Lepisosteus oculatus: one gene and its partner. The protein of the gene in region 1 purifies or fractionates together with the protein of each later gene. This does not show direct contact. Links are inferred from orthologs where the notes say so. Each region holds a gene or a part of one and is shown in the gene's direction. Other genes may lie near its edges.

Region 1 (7,207 bases):
ATGATGCAACAGCAGCCATAGTGCGCCATTACACTCCCCACACACCTGCTATCAGTGGGGAGGAGTTCAGAGATGGGGATTATTAGGAGGCCATGAAAGGTAAAGGCCAATGGGAAATGTGGAAGTCCACATATATTGTATTGTATAAAGTGGTTATAAAATCTAACAATTCTAGCTGAGGCTCTGTTGCCAATTCTAATTGGTTTTATATGTGCTGGTGAGCAGTGGAGTCTTGGAGCAAATGTGAATAGGGCGTAATGAGAGTGTTGTTTGATAGGGACGGCCTGCGGCTTGCTTCTCACATTGCATTCCCCAGCATCCGATCCTGATGGCTTTAATGCACTTATTGCCAAGCATTCCATTACAAGCCAATAACGATCATGCACCAGCACAGCCAAGCCACCCCGAAACATCATAACAGCCTCCTCTGGAAGGCTGTGGCTTGGTTAGATTAGGCCAAAGGTTTTAGCAGTATTTTACAAGGTAACCACACAACGGGAGGGTGCAGATTATATCAGACATCCAAACACTTCAGACTTGAACATTGTGGCGATGTTCTCGGGAGGCTTTGAGGATTTTTTGCTGCACATTCTAAAGATGGCGGAATGGTACAAACTCCCAGACATGAACACTGTTGCACTAACACCCTGTAGTGGTTGTAATGACCCCAGAAATAACATTTGGACAATAGCTCCTGAAGCCTATGAGCTTGCATTGCCACGTGGTTTTTGTGCCAAATGTTTGGAAGCTGTGATTACCAAGTCCTGACTAAGACCCAAACTTGTGCACGTGCAACATTCACTAATTTCTTTTGCAATCTGTTCGTTTCAGCAAATAAAAAAGTAATTGTGCATTCAAATGTGGAGAAATATATCATGTTTAAATTTGAATCCTCCCGAGACTGCGTTCACTTCTTTTCACTTGGCGATTCAGTGAAACGTGCCAGTTGACCAGGGGTGCCCAAACCTTTGATCACAACTGTGCACGAGTGTTTAAATTGGTGTGCTCGTCTTTGAGTTCTAAAAACCCAGCACTTAACGTGAACAGATGTGCTTCACTGAACCCTATCAACGCCCCCCAGTACCTGATTTCCTCTGCAGGACAGATGGAATTACACTTTCTTCCAAAGAAGGAGGTAAATGCAATAAGTTTTATACAGCAGATTCACACAGGAAAGCTCACTCTAAGTTTCCATATTAGGAGATGTTTTTTCTCTCTACAAACAAAAACAGAAGGTGTGAAACTGAGCTAGACGCTTTGCGGTTGTAATATTAAAGTCAAAAGGTCAAATAATATGCTTGAATTATCCTTTTATACTGTTGCTAAGCACAAAGCATATGAGCTAATACAAATAGTCACTATTTTATATACTTAATAAAAAGGCAAATGCTCAAATTCTTCCTCAATGGTTTGGTTGCTTGAAGTGACCAGAAAGCCTTGATTGTGAATACTAGAAAAACAGAATAAATTGTCTTCGGTCTCGAACAGGATGAATATCCTTCCCCAGTCACAACTCCTAATGAGTCTATTAAGCAACCTAGTGTACATCCTATGATGCGCTGGGAATATACACAGAAGCTACTCTGTCTTGGAAGGCACATGTTGACCGCAAGTTGACTTTCTTCACAGGTTATGGGCTGTTGGTACCAGTAGTCAGGTTTTGTCAATGCATTTTCAGTTCTGTGGTACAGAATGTCATGCAGTGTGGAATAGCTCTCTAGTATAACAGATGTTCTCTGTGCAACAAGTAAGTTAAGATGTCCAAACTCTGAAGATGTGTTCTAAGATAGTGGGCAGGTACTTGAGCAGAGCTTATAAAACTGCATGCATTAACAGTGCGCTGTTAGTATCTCCCTCTGTGTTCTGCAGGAAGAAAATCTACTGATGCCTTCCTGCAGTCGTTTTAAAGTCCCCCGATGCAGATCTTAGAAAGATGAGGAATTCCTTTATCCTACACCCAATCAAACCACTAAGTAAATTAGTTCACAGTGATTTCTGTAGAGTACTGGTTTATGGGCAAGTGCAATTAGTGGTTTTGTGCAGTTCTAGGGTTTTGGAATGATTGGTGAAATGCAGATGGGATTCCTGTAGGAGAGGTGTCTGATGAATTTGTACAGGTCCCCATTACCTGTAAAGCACTTTGAGTAGAGTGTCCAGAAAAGCTTTATATAAGTCCACAGCTCCAGGCTTTCCTGATCTTTGATAGAAGGCATTTGCACATGGTACAGTATGTTACTGCAGCAGTCAGGGAGAAGAGCTTTACTCTAGGGTACAACAGCAGTGTCTTGTCTGGGATGGAAAATCACCACCTTCTGTTTACAAGTCAACAACCACTGCTCCATACTGCTGTCCCAAACCTGTATTTCTGAGAATGTCCTGTTACCTGTTATTTCATAGATCCCAGTGGATAAATCAGTTGAAAAATTAATAATTGAAATGGTATCCTGATATCTCTGGATAACATTCTGAGGGGACAGACCCTGCTCCTAGTTATTCCTCATAAGGACACTGGTCTTAATTTTATCAGTGTCCTTAAAGGCTCCCAGCACAGTGTCCTGATATCATTCTTCTGTGGTCAGAAGAGTTTGTGTGACAGGGTTTGTGATTGAATCAGACGTCAGTGGAGGGTTTTCTGAAGGTCTCCTACAGGGCACCGTAGAGGCCTAGATAACTGTGACAATCCCACAGAATATAATTAACAGTAATTAACTTAACTGCTGGATCGGTTTACTGCATTATGCTAACAGACAAGCAATTTAATATGGGGTTTAGGATTTTCCTGGTGTCCTTCTGACATTTAAAAAAACCCACTCTGGTTTTGTGGAAGTCTTTTTGTGGTGAGGACCAGCTCAAAGCACTTTACAAACAACAAAAATGGAGACATTTAAGGCCTTATAATGCATCAATATATAAGAAAAATGGGGCCTAAATAAAAAGAAAAAACCTATATACAAGTTTAAATTATCTTCATTCAACAAAATGTACTTCAAGATCCTGACTCTTGAGATATGTAATCGTAACTGTTTTTAAAAGTGCTAATGTTCACAATAACGGATTCTCATTACTTTATATAATGTTCTTTTTTTTTAGTTATGAAGAATATCGTATTGTATGCAAAAATAATTATAATATCAATGCTTAGAATTAAAGGCAGCTACGGGATTCATTTTTTGATATACAGTATCTAATCAATGAATCTACTCAACTCATTCAATTTTAATTTTAATTCCAGACAGGGATGAGTCGCAATAAGACTGATTCGGATGGGAGAAGTTTATAATCTAGGGTCTTGCCTTTTAGGGGTTATAATTGCCCATTGCACCAAGACAGTATTGAACGAAGTATGGAAAATGTTTTTACTTGTTTAAAGGCGAAATTTAAAAGAATAGAACTAGGATTAATTTACACTGCGGTACACAGTTAAACAGATTTTCAGATTCTTAATCTAATGTAAACGAATAAACTACGAATAAAACGAATGAACTTGTTTTTGAGGGCTTTAAGGTCTAGGGTACTGATTACAGGCAATCCTGACCTACATCTGTAAACTTCACGCTAATGTTTGCATCAGTAGTTCGAGAGCAGTTTAACCCTCTCCGTGCATGTTGATCAGATGTCTGGTCCGATGTTCCTTGTACTGTCAAACACTGACAATGTTACAGGCGCAGGGCAATGCGTAAATATTCCTATCACGAAAGATAAAGTGGGCGTGATTTATATTAACTGTAACATTTTGCCAATCCCTAGCATCGTGGGCGGCATCCTTGACATTATCTGCCCAACCAGCGCCACTGATTCACAATCTACTCCGGAGAAAAGGGGAGTGTTTGATTGGATTGAGCGCGGCCCCTTCTAAAAACTATGCAGTTGAGTGACACTTCGGTCTTCCAATCAGAGCTAGAAATGCGTACAGCTGGGTTAGATTGACGCGTTGTTGTCCAATCACAACCAAGCACTCGCAGAATACCGAGTAGGCGGGTTTTTATGCCGCTCTGTGGAGTCGCAATCCAATTCACCGCCGCGGAGGTTTTGGTGAAACGGACGGCGCCGCGCACCAATAGGAGCGACGGAAAAGAGCACCGGCCCAAGACGGACAGGGGTTCTGACCAATAGAATCAGAGAATGGGCGGTCGCGCCTCTGACAATATTGTCAGGTATCGGCTCGCTTTCCGTCCAGTTCGATCGGCAACGGGAGCGGAGAAAGGAACGCTGAGAGCCCGAAGGCAGCAGCCCCACCACCGCCGGCCCAGGTTACCATCACGCACCGGGAAAACACGCTAGAGAGCCACCGCCGGCACAAGTGTAACGTAACCCACCGAAACCACCATGAGCAACGAGGCCGAAACACAGCAGCAGCCGCAGCAGCCCGCCGCCGCGGAGAGCCCGTCCAGCCCGGCAGCCGCAGCTACCGCGGGGGATAAGAAGGTCATCGGTGAGCCCCCCGGTCTCTCGTATTTTTTTCTTTTCCCGTGTTGTTACGTGATTTGAACTGGGGACGCGACGCCGAGGTTGAGGGTTGGAGAGGTGACTTTTTTTCTCCGGCGTGCGGTGTGTCGGGCTCCGGGGTTTCTTTGTGTGAGAAAAGTCGGTTGAGCGTTGATGGTTGAGGGGGGGGCGGGGGGGCGAAAAAAAATAATTTGGAAAAAATAACGAGCGGGCGGCCTCGAGCGGGTCCGGGGCAGCAACGGTTCTCGTCCCGTCGCCGTGGTGACGGGAGCGGGCTGCGCTCTCGAGCCCCGGCGCGTGCGGGGAGCCCGGCGGAGCGGAGCCGGTGGGTGGGATCGGGCCGGAAGCGCCGGGGTGGGTTTGTGGATTCCGCTGGTGGGTTTGGGATAGTGATCGGAAAGACACCCCCCCCCCCTTACTCACAAACACACACTACTTGCCCACGCATCCCAATTCCTCCCCTCCTGGGGGTGGGGGTTTCTAGGTGTGGGTTTGGACTGGGCCGGGCCCAGGGGACACATGGCGATCCGGCCGCCTTGCAGGGTCTGTGCGTGTGGGGGAGAAGGGGGGAGCGACGCAGGCGAACTTGGCCTTGCTCTTCACCTCCCCGGGGCAGCCGGGGCGATACTGGCCGCCCGCCTCCCGTAAGTGGGTCAGGTCGCGTTCTCCCGCGGGCCCTTCCGCACGGAGCCCGCCGGGGCCGGCCTGCAGTCCCCGGCCCGCGGGTAACGCGAGTGCCGGGCTGCGGGAGGGCCGGTGTGAAGACTCCCCCTTCCTCACTGCTCCTCCACACACACACACACCCTTTGTTCATTACAGTGCGGTGTAGTAACTTGAGCGTCGTGTACGGGCCGAGGGTGTGCAGCCGCTTCATAAATCGGCAAAGCCGTCTTTCCCGACGAAAATGCCGCTTGACGGCTTACAAAAGAGGCGTCGCGTTCCCCCCCTCCTCGGATTATACTAGCGGCTGTGTGGAAACTTGGCGAGGGGGGAAAAAATCCAAAATGTCCGCCGCGGTGTTTGGATACGAGAGGGATTTCTTTTGTCTGAGGGAGGCGATGTTTTTTTTTTCCTGGCGTGTGGGTGCTGGGGAGGCGGGCGGCGTGACCAGGAGGACCGGACTGCGGCCGATCCCCGTTCCCCGTAGTTTAGGGTGGGGGGGGGGCGATTAATCGGCGGCCCTGCCGTGGAAATCGCCGTCGGTTTGGCGCGGATTGTGGGCGTCCGTCCAGCCACATGGTAGCGCGTCGGGCTGGGAAATATGGAAGTTTCGCGCTGTAACAGGCGGAGACCAGTACAATCGTAATCCCCTGCGCGTCCGTTGTACTGGGAATAATGGAAGTTTGACTGGCGATGGACGGCCGCTTGAATGATTGATTTATCGATACTGTATTTAGTTTCGCGTCCGTGTGGGGAGAGTGCAGGAGACCACGTGTGAAGCATTCTGACACTTCCTTATATCGTTACAGTGAATCATTCTTGTTACAGGAAAGAGCCGAGGTTACGATTGGTTCTTTGTAGCAGCAGACTGTTGAAGCATGGCCGGGCCACGTCGTATACCCCTGTATAGCCAGTAGAAGTTCTTTCGCCCGAAATTATGTTCTGATCCAATCAGCGGGGTTGGTGAATGTATTTTGGACACGAGTTCATCATACTGCTGAAGTAGTTAGTTTTGCAATGGACAGCTAGGCTTTGCATCATAATCTATAAAAAGCTTGTCACCATGTGGTTAAATATAGTGTCCAGATAGTTTTACAAGCCCTACCCCACTCAATAGTCGCAGCACTCCATGCTCCTAGTTCTGAGTTTCTCTGAATTCGGCCAATTAACCAGACAATAGCTGTAGGTCCCGGTTCTGAGCGTTAGGTCCTCATTTTATGTTTCCACTTTTCCTAGTAAACCTTTTCTCCTAGTGCTTACATGGTCAGATTTTAATGAGAGTGATGTTACAGTAAAGTCCAAGGAGTGACTAGAATATAGTTCATAAGTTGTTAAATACGGAAAGCAAATCGGTTCCAATTTTAAGGACTACATTTTTTTTTTAGACAAAACCTCTGCTGTTCATTATTACTGTATATACTTAAAGCAGATTTTTAAGTGACACATGATTTGAATAATGCTTAAAGTTACAGAGGTGTGGAGAGAATTTAAATATTTAACCTGTTTTTTGTCAAAAGAGACTCTAAGAGCCTCTGGGCTGAAGTGTGATATAGAGCTGTAGTTTTGCAGAGATGTGTAAATGACAGGAACGTGACAAGCAAGGGTGTACTGCCTACAGTTAGACTCCTGTGTGTAGAGAGAGAATGATGGTAAAGCATCAGTGCATGGTGAAATTAAGGCTCTACAATTACATTTTACTGTAGAATACGTTAAATACAAAAGAACCCATCAGAGTGAAAGTCTGCTATGAGACATTATAATGTGGTTTTCTTTGTTTTCTGATAATTCTGGTGTCTGGAATTTGTAAGTTAATAATTGCCTGACTGCTCTCTGGGTATATGAAGATGTAAGACTTGTTTGTTTTCCAGCAACAAAGGTGTTGGGAACAGTGAAGTGGTTTAACGTGAGGAACGGCTACGGTTTCATCAACAGGTAATTTAAGCTCTCTCGCCTTGTTTAGGACATGGATGTGACCTGTGGGTCTGATATCGTGCTCAATCCTATTAGCCAGGTTATTTGCTTGTACAGCTGTAGATTTATTAGTCAGTGTCCTGCTCCTGTTTACTTGCTGGGGTTTAGCAAACCATAAGCCTGTTAATTT
Region 2 (7,898 bases), on another chromosome or scaffold:
TTACAGATGGGTTTGCCCGGGCACGTTTAGAGCTGATGATGTTAAGGGAGTGAGGCATAGTGTTCTGAGTGATCCATTGTAAATTATTCCCCAAATTCAGATGCAAAACATGCTGTCTATGATCCACCTACTCAAAAAATGTGAGTGTTGTTAGATTTTGTTCTGTAGAATCAATACAAGCTAGCTTACTCATATAACCTGAAGGTATGCTGGAGGATATTGAACATGAGCACAAAGGAGATTTCTGTTGACAAGCTTAGGCTGTGTGGTTCACTTTTAATGAAGCTAGAAACATCGGTCTGCAAGTCTGTACAGCTGTGATAAACTGAATGAATAAAAAAAGTGAGGGATGGTAGCTGTGACAGAGAGTTAACTCTTACTCTACAGGTTTTCTATCAAGCCAAGACATAACTGGGCCACTGATGCTGAAAGGTCATGGTCATTTCACTGTTTGAAACCTTAGTGACAAATTGTTGAACGTTTTTGATAGTGATGTTGTTAAAGTACACAAGAGCCACTGTTTTATGCAGAAAGGTTTCTAAATTCTCAGCGGTTAGGTTAGTGGGCCTATTTCCCAGGCTGTGCACTATGTTCTCAGGTTGAAATTATTAAGTAACATGGTTTCTTCGAGTTTTTGGAAATAAATGAAAAAACCTTCAGAATAGTATATGTCCTCACTTCAAATTGATTTCAGGTCAATTCAAATACAAATTGCTGGGAAGAAATCTTAAATACATAATATATTGCAAAATATATACAGTACAGTATATACATATGTATAGATAACATATATGGCTTATAGACTTAAGACTGAGGGAAATCATTTGATGTTCCCCAAAGAGCATAAATGAAGGCCAACATTGCATATGAAGTTAACACTGCAACTAATGTCATGACATTGCAGTGCATAAAAGATAATAAGGAATTTTAGAGATTAGATGATAAAAACCTTGTCACCTAAGAGGATCAATAACATCTGTGTGATCTGTGTCAGTGACTGAATGCTTCATAGGAATTACGGGAATATGAAAGGATATTATGTATTACTCTTTAACAGCAACCTTTCACCAAAGGATTCTAGGATTGCCAGTCACACCTCACTAGTAAACTGCATGATGTTTGTATTGCACTGTGCATTTTAAGCACTGACAGCAACAGTCAGAGCTCGTCCAGGTTTAGATCTTACTTTTGGTATACATGGAGTTCATTGGGATCTTATATTGGTGTGCAAAAATATTAGACATTTTAAACACTGTCAAGAGTTGGTGTAATTGAAACACTGTGTGAAAGAAGTTCTCTAGAACTGCATTTTCTGCTTGAAAAATGAGCATAGCTAGAACTCTACAGACCTTATTCAACTTGCTTGCTGTTCTTTGAGAAAGGTGGGAATGATACTAATATTTCTCCTTCTCTCGAAGTCCAGTTGGTTACACCTGACACCTGTGGGCAGTTCTGAAACTCAGATGATGGTACAGGGATGATACCATTTGCCAATCCTATTTGTCGAGAGTAAATGTACAAATATGCCAAAATAATACTTAATTAAATCAATCAGCACGTGCTTTTCCAGAGCCAGGATTGGGAGCCATTGCTTTAGGCAACAGTTTGTTTTTTTCCATTCCTGCATTTCCAGTCCAGTAGTTATTTTCCAGCATGACAATGCAAGACCATTCAGTGCTTGGATAATAGTGGCACATTTGAAGAAATCACTGCTGGGATCTTGCTGTGGCCAGCTTTTTCTCCCTGAATCCAATAGAACAGCTGTGGGTCCAACTCACCACGCCCATCTATGGAAAACAGCTGTTACGGGTCGTCCCTCTGCAGGTGCACATATGGAGTGGTGGAACAACCCACAGCAGTCTTTCCAAACTGAAAACGCCACCAGGATTATGTTAATGCCGAGAGAGTTCATGATCGATACTAACTTTCCAATGTTTTCATTCTGATAGTGTTTCGTCATGAAAACATATGGTGATTCTCTGAGCTGTACGTTAGATCACGTTTTCTGTGCGTTTGGTTGATATCTTTGTTTGAAGTTTCTGCTCGAATCCATTTCACCTGGGAGTTGCGTTTCCTTTGAGTGTAAGTATTCGTGTGAAACTGATTGACGTGTTTCTGTCACAATATGACCAGAGTTTTATTCAGTGGGAAAAGAAGTGGTGCATTGAAGCGGGAAGCAAATGTTGACAGCTGTCCTACACCTTTGTTGAATAAAATGAAGATTTTGACAAATATTCTGAATATTTGGCTCCCACTAAGTCACATTCATGTAAATTTTTCTGAGAAGAAGTCAGAAATACTGTAGATAGGTGCATTTAAAACCTTACAGAAAAAAGACTGACCCCTTAACACTGGGGAACTTAACACTCTTGAAAGTCTGGAGGAATAATATCACTATAAGAACTTTTAAACCAACAGAGAGGGAATATTTTAATGAGACAAGACTGCTGTGAATTATCAGCAGACTGTGGTGTGTGTGTAGTATTTGCTTTTGAGAAGATTAATACGTTTTCATGTGCCTTGAAAGTTTATGCTTGCGCTTCCTGTAAGGGTATTTTTGGTATGAATGTATTTCACACAAATACCGATACTCAAAAGACATGGAATATAAATTTGTATATTCTTAAACATGTTTGCTCTTATAGGTTGCATATGACAGGCAAGTTACAGTATTTGCTGGGCATGATATGTGTAAAATAAAATAAGAGAGTAATTGACAATTTCATGTATAAAATAGTTATTGTAAAGGGTTTCTTTACAAGCAGAATCTACCCTCTCTCGTTCATTCAATTCTGTGGAAAGATAGGTGTTAAACATGAATCCACTTACAAAGGAAAACTTTCTCACAGGAATTCACCTCCATTTCAGAAGCCAGTGCTTGTTAATAAACAAATAAAAAAACTGCATATATTAATTTTGTTGATATCCCTCATTTAACAAAATGAATGTAGCTGATGTCTTAATTACCCAGCTTTGAGCTTCTATTTAAAGTGATTATGTTTTGCTGATTGTTATTAGAGCTGTTCAGCACAAATATAAATAAACATTACTTTGAGTTACACTATCTACAATGACATTCAGAACACAGAATTTTAAACATCTCTCAGCTTTTAAATGCATCTACTGGGCTACTGCACTGAACAGCAAAGACAAAAAATATACTTATTGAATTTTTCCTCAATAATTTTTCCTTTTTAGTTCAACGATTTTTCTTAATCTAATCAGAAAGTGGTGAATATCTTTTTGCTATTATTTTGACTTAGATCCAGACTAGAACACGGAGTGATTAATTTTCATGTCACCCATTAGATAATACAAACCCTGTACTTGCAGGAAGCTCTTTTCCTATCCATTAGAAACCTTTCCTCTCCGAATAGTGTCAAGAACTAATGATTTTCTTTTTTATTTCTAAGAGACATTTAATGTACATTTATCCAAAGAAAACAACATTTAATATAGTTAAGAGAAAAGGTAATTCTGTAGGAGCCTTTGTTTAAAAGCAGTAGCACATACGAATTTGTATCATTAAGTCAAAGCTGTACAACAGAATATAAAAAAACATTTCATATTGAACTCCATATATTATTAAAATGGAACAATATTGGGATAAATATTCACAGATGAAAAAATCAAGGACCCTTTATTCTAGATTTGGGAATTCATTCCTATCCTGCACTCATATTTCATTTCTTTAGTTATACAAAATGTTGGTGATGATGCTTGTTTCAAACTTAATATTGCAGATTCTAAATATTGATTCTAAATATCGTATATAGGAAATAACTATTTTGTTGTAGCTTTTATTACAGTAAATACTAATTATATTTCCTGAGATATGTTTTTGGCTGATAAAAATATCTGCTGGTATTTATGTTAGTCAAAAACAACATTTATCTTTTTTAAGAGATTGAAATTTCTGTAGCTCAATTGCTGGCCTAAGAGAAATGTTTAATCTGAAATTGATTTTGTTCAAGAGAACTAACCAGATGTATTAGTATTATTATGTGGAAACAGATTTGTGGCTTTTTATCCACAGTAATGTCACAAATATGAGTTATCTGTTTTGTTATTTCCGATGAGATTGATAATATTAACCAAATCACACTTGTCATATTGCTTAATCTAAGTATTCAATGCTAGATATAGAATATCCCCTATATTTTTTTATACTGTATATAATTGAATATACCTATATCTATATACTGTATAGATGCCATAATTCACCAGATTAGTGTTTTGGAATTAAAATTACAGTATGTAAACTTTCATTGTGTGCTGCATGTGCTTATTTATCATAAACTGAGAAAGTTGTTAAAGGAATAACACCATTATCTTCATTAAGTACTTCATTAAAGTAGTCTGTGTGGAATGAGAATTAAATTTACTTCAAACTGTAACCTTTATTCAATGGCATATACTGTAGTAAATTCGTAGAATTAAGTAAACACACTCATAGGATTACTTCTGAATCTTGCACCCTGTGTAAAATTATAGATTTGTCAGAGCTGGCATTTTGTCTTGCCGAGACACTTATGAAAACAGTCTATACAGTCACAACCTGTGAAGTTTTATTGTATACAATGAAAGTGTTACTCCTCCTTCATCAGGATGTGTATAGCGCTTCAGGGCGACGTTAGGATAAAAAATCGAGCCATGCAATATACAATTATAATTTCCGTATATAAATATTTTAAATTAATTAAATTAAATATAACGTATTTTAAATTAAAACAGATCTGTAATGCTGTTATGTGCAACTACGATTTCCTAAGCTTCCAAACAATGGGAAAGAATGGATACTCGCGTTAGACCGTGAACTGTGTACCCTATATTGCAGGTTAACCTCCGGAACTGCTTTCTCAGCCTAACTCAGCAGCACGGACGTATTTCTGAAGCGTACCCGGAAGACCTAGGGTGACATTCGGTACAAGCGTGAAAGCCTGAGTGTGGATACATGCCGAAAATTAACATCAGATTCGGACGACAATAAATATACCAACTGAATTAAAAGTTTAATTGCTATAATGGCAGCGTGGAGCTGCAGGTTTTTAAGGTGGGGATTAAGAGACCCACTGTTAAAGGGAGCTGAAAGGTATGTAAATGATTTTGTTATCTGTTTGAGTTCATTCTAAGTCATATGAGTACGATATAAAATACAAAATGTGTATATGAACAGTTACGTTATGTATATCGTCTGTATTTATATTTGTATCGTCTTTATACTAAGATAAGTTTCGACAGCTTGTCTATTTGTGTAACTTCATAGTGATTGCAGGTGCGTGAATTAAGCTGTAGTTAAGCAGTGATGCACATACACTGTACTGTTTTCTTGCAGTTCTTTGAGAGGCGATGCAGTTCTGTGACAACTGAAATACAGTTATACAGTAATTCGGGATGAATAAGCCTTTTGAGTAATAGTTTAAATGAAAAGGAACAAGTAATATGTTTATTCTATGTTGAAAAGAGAAGAAAGTTTCGACCTTGGAGCCTTCTTCAGGTGTGATTTGAAAGCAGACACGCAAGCGCAGTATATGAACACGATATCCACGCGTGCTGGTGGATTTCAAGTGGTCCTCCAGACGCTGTGAACTGTAAGTTTAGATTTAGACTCGAGTCTGAATACGGGATGCAGGAATTAGCGAAATAATTATAAAGGAAGATTAAAAAAGAACGACGGGCAAGCTTTAATAGGCGACAGATTTAGAATCGGCCATTGACTGAAGCAGAACTATTCATCACCCAAAATTTAAGGCCATACTAAGTTAAAAGTAAAGTTTATTCTGATTTTTTTCTTTTACACAAATGTGGATGAGTTTTGCTTAGCTTAAGGTAAAATGATAGTCTCATAGTTTTTACAAAAGATTTTGCTGCTAGTCAGCTAGACCATCTCTTGGATGACCAAGAAAAATCCTGTTAATGAATTGCCTTTTTACATCAGTTACTATCAATATAATTTAAAGTTAATTCTTTATTTTCAGCTTTTTTCACTAAAATGTTTTGGATCGTTCTATTTTCTCTTACCCAAAAAGGGTGCTTCTCCTTTTCAGTATCCACCTTCAGAGAAGATTAAAATTGAATAAATATATAGAAGAAGCAGTCTTATCTGAGGGTTGTGTTGAACGTATGTTTCTTTCTAGGACAGCCTATCAGCATAAATGAAGGTTAATAAATCTACAGATTTAAAAATACATGAGGATTTACTTTATTTTTTGTGTTTGTAGCCCTCTGTGCGTACGGTTTGTTGGCACCATCAAGAGTACAACCTGGTGGGATGAGCACCTTTCCGATGAAAATAACAAGTTCCTGCGAAGAGTGATACCCGAGGAGTACAGCAGCCAGACCGCGAGCAAACTGTGCCCTTTGAAGGATGAGCCCTGGCCCAGACAGGAGTGGGAGGCAGGTAAGGTGTGTGAACAGTTCTAAAAGAGTAAGCAGGAGTTTGCTAGGGGGATGTTTAAACCCAAATGCAGTAGGTTTATTGTCTTTTCTGCCATTGTGGCTAGCAGCCTCAGGGTGGAAGGAGCACAGAACCAACCGGTCGTCCTGGGCTGTGTTGCTCCAGTATGGTAACTGTTCTAAGTTTTGTTCTGCTGCATTGGTTACAGTGAGTGAGCCAGGCGGCCATTTTCCATGAGAATATTGGACAGTACTTCCCCATTTCTGATGACCGTGTTATAGCTTTATGCATTGGTAAATCTCAAACTGAGACAGATCTTTAATATTTGCATATGAAGTGAACACAAATACTTTTTATATTTGGCTTGATTTTGAGTTAATAGAACTGAACACGATTATGCGTAAAGTAGTATTAAAGAATTTTCAGCTCTGTCTGCACTTACTATATACAGCAGCTGCTTAAAGATCTGTAGGATACAATGTTTTTTATACCTTTCCTTTAACGTTTTATTCTTTGAAAAGCAAGAAGCTGGAGCAGAAAATATTTTAATGAATGAAGGTAATGGAGAAAGTAAAGCAATGAAATTTAAATTACATATAGATCAGATAAAATCACTTTGTTAGCCATGTACAGTTTCTTGCATTAAGAATTCATCTTTTTGCATACCCCAGTTTGCTCTCCACGAGACACACAGACAGGGAGAGAAGCTTGGGTTCAGAGCGCAGGGTCAGCCATTGTACAGCGCCCCTGGAGCAGTTGGGGTTAAGGGCCTTGCTCAGGGGCCCAACATAGGATTCCTCTGCTGGCCGTGGGATTTGAACCAGCAACCTTCCAGCCACAGGCGCAGATCCTGAGCCACAGAGCCACCACTCCGCCCCACAGAAATATTTTATAAACAGAAATATTATTTGTTTATGTACATCAGATCCCTGAGTTTTAGATCTGCTTCTGTTACAATCAAAAAATAGAACAAAAAATGTTCAAAACATTTATTTATATCCTCTGTACAACCTAACTGTTCTGTTTGAAAACAAATTTCAAATACCAAGCCGTCGCTTAGTGCTAGATTTGGCGTCTCATGTCAACTTTAGGACGCATTATGATTTTCTCCTGTCTTCAGCTTGTTTTCTGAGGCTTTTGGCTGCTTATATTTTATGTTGCAACATTCACTAATTGTATTCCAAAACTGAGTCAGATCAAACGTTGTTGGAAAAACTATTCTACTAGGTAAATGGTTAACTTTTCTCATTTAACCTGCAATTATGTATAACTGGAGTCAATGCAGCTGGACTGTAAGCAAATGAAGAGTTAAGGAATCTGCTTTCTTGAACACTGGTGCCGGAAATGAATTACAGATAGCACTGTGTAACAGAACATTTCATACAGAGTCTGAAAGAAGCGTGTAAAGTATTTATTGAAGAATGTTAATTGGACATATTAACACCTATTTGTATTTTATAGTGCCAGCATAAAGATATTTAAAACTAGTTCAATGTCTTCA

The links.
Region 2: the proteins of ybx1 (region 1) and mrpl3 purify together in Homo sapiens (affinity purification with mass spectrometry; 3 studies listed by BioGRID and IntAct, with this or other methods). This does not show direct contact. The link is inferred for Lepisosteus oculatus from reciprocal best matches to the Homo sapiens genes YBX1 and MRPL3.

What each region holds. Positions count from the first base shown.
Region 1 is NC_090720.1:9,798,829-9,806,035, reverse strand, and holds the start of ybx1 (Y-box-binding protein 1), read left to right. Parts: upstream 1-4,202; 5' UTR 4,203-4,326; coding exon 4,327-4,432; intron 4,433-6,974; coding exon 6,975-7,038; intron 7,039-7,207. UniProt on the Homo sapiens protein: DNA- and RNA-binding protein involved in various processes, such as translational repression, RNA stabilization, mRNA splicing, DNA repair and transcription regulation.
Region 2 is NC_090705.1:42,135,214-42,143,111, reverse strand, and holds the start of mrpl3 (large ribosomal subunit protein uL3m), read left to right. Parts: upstream 1-4,888; 5' UTR 4,889-5,024; coding exon 5,025-5,092; intron 5,093-6,221; coding exon 6,222-6,400; intron 6,401-7,898.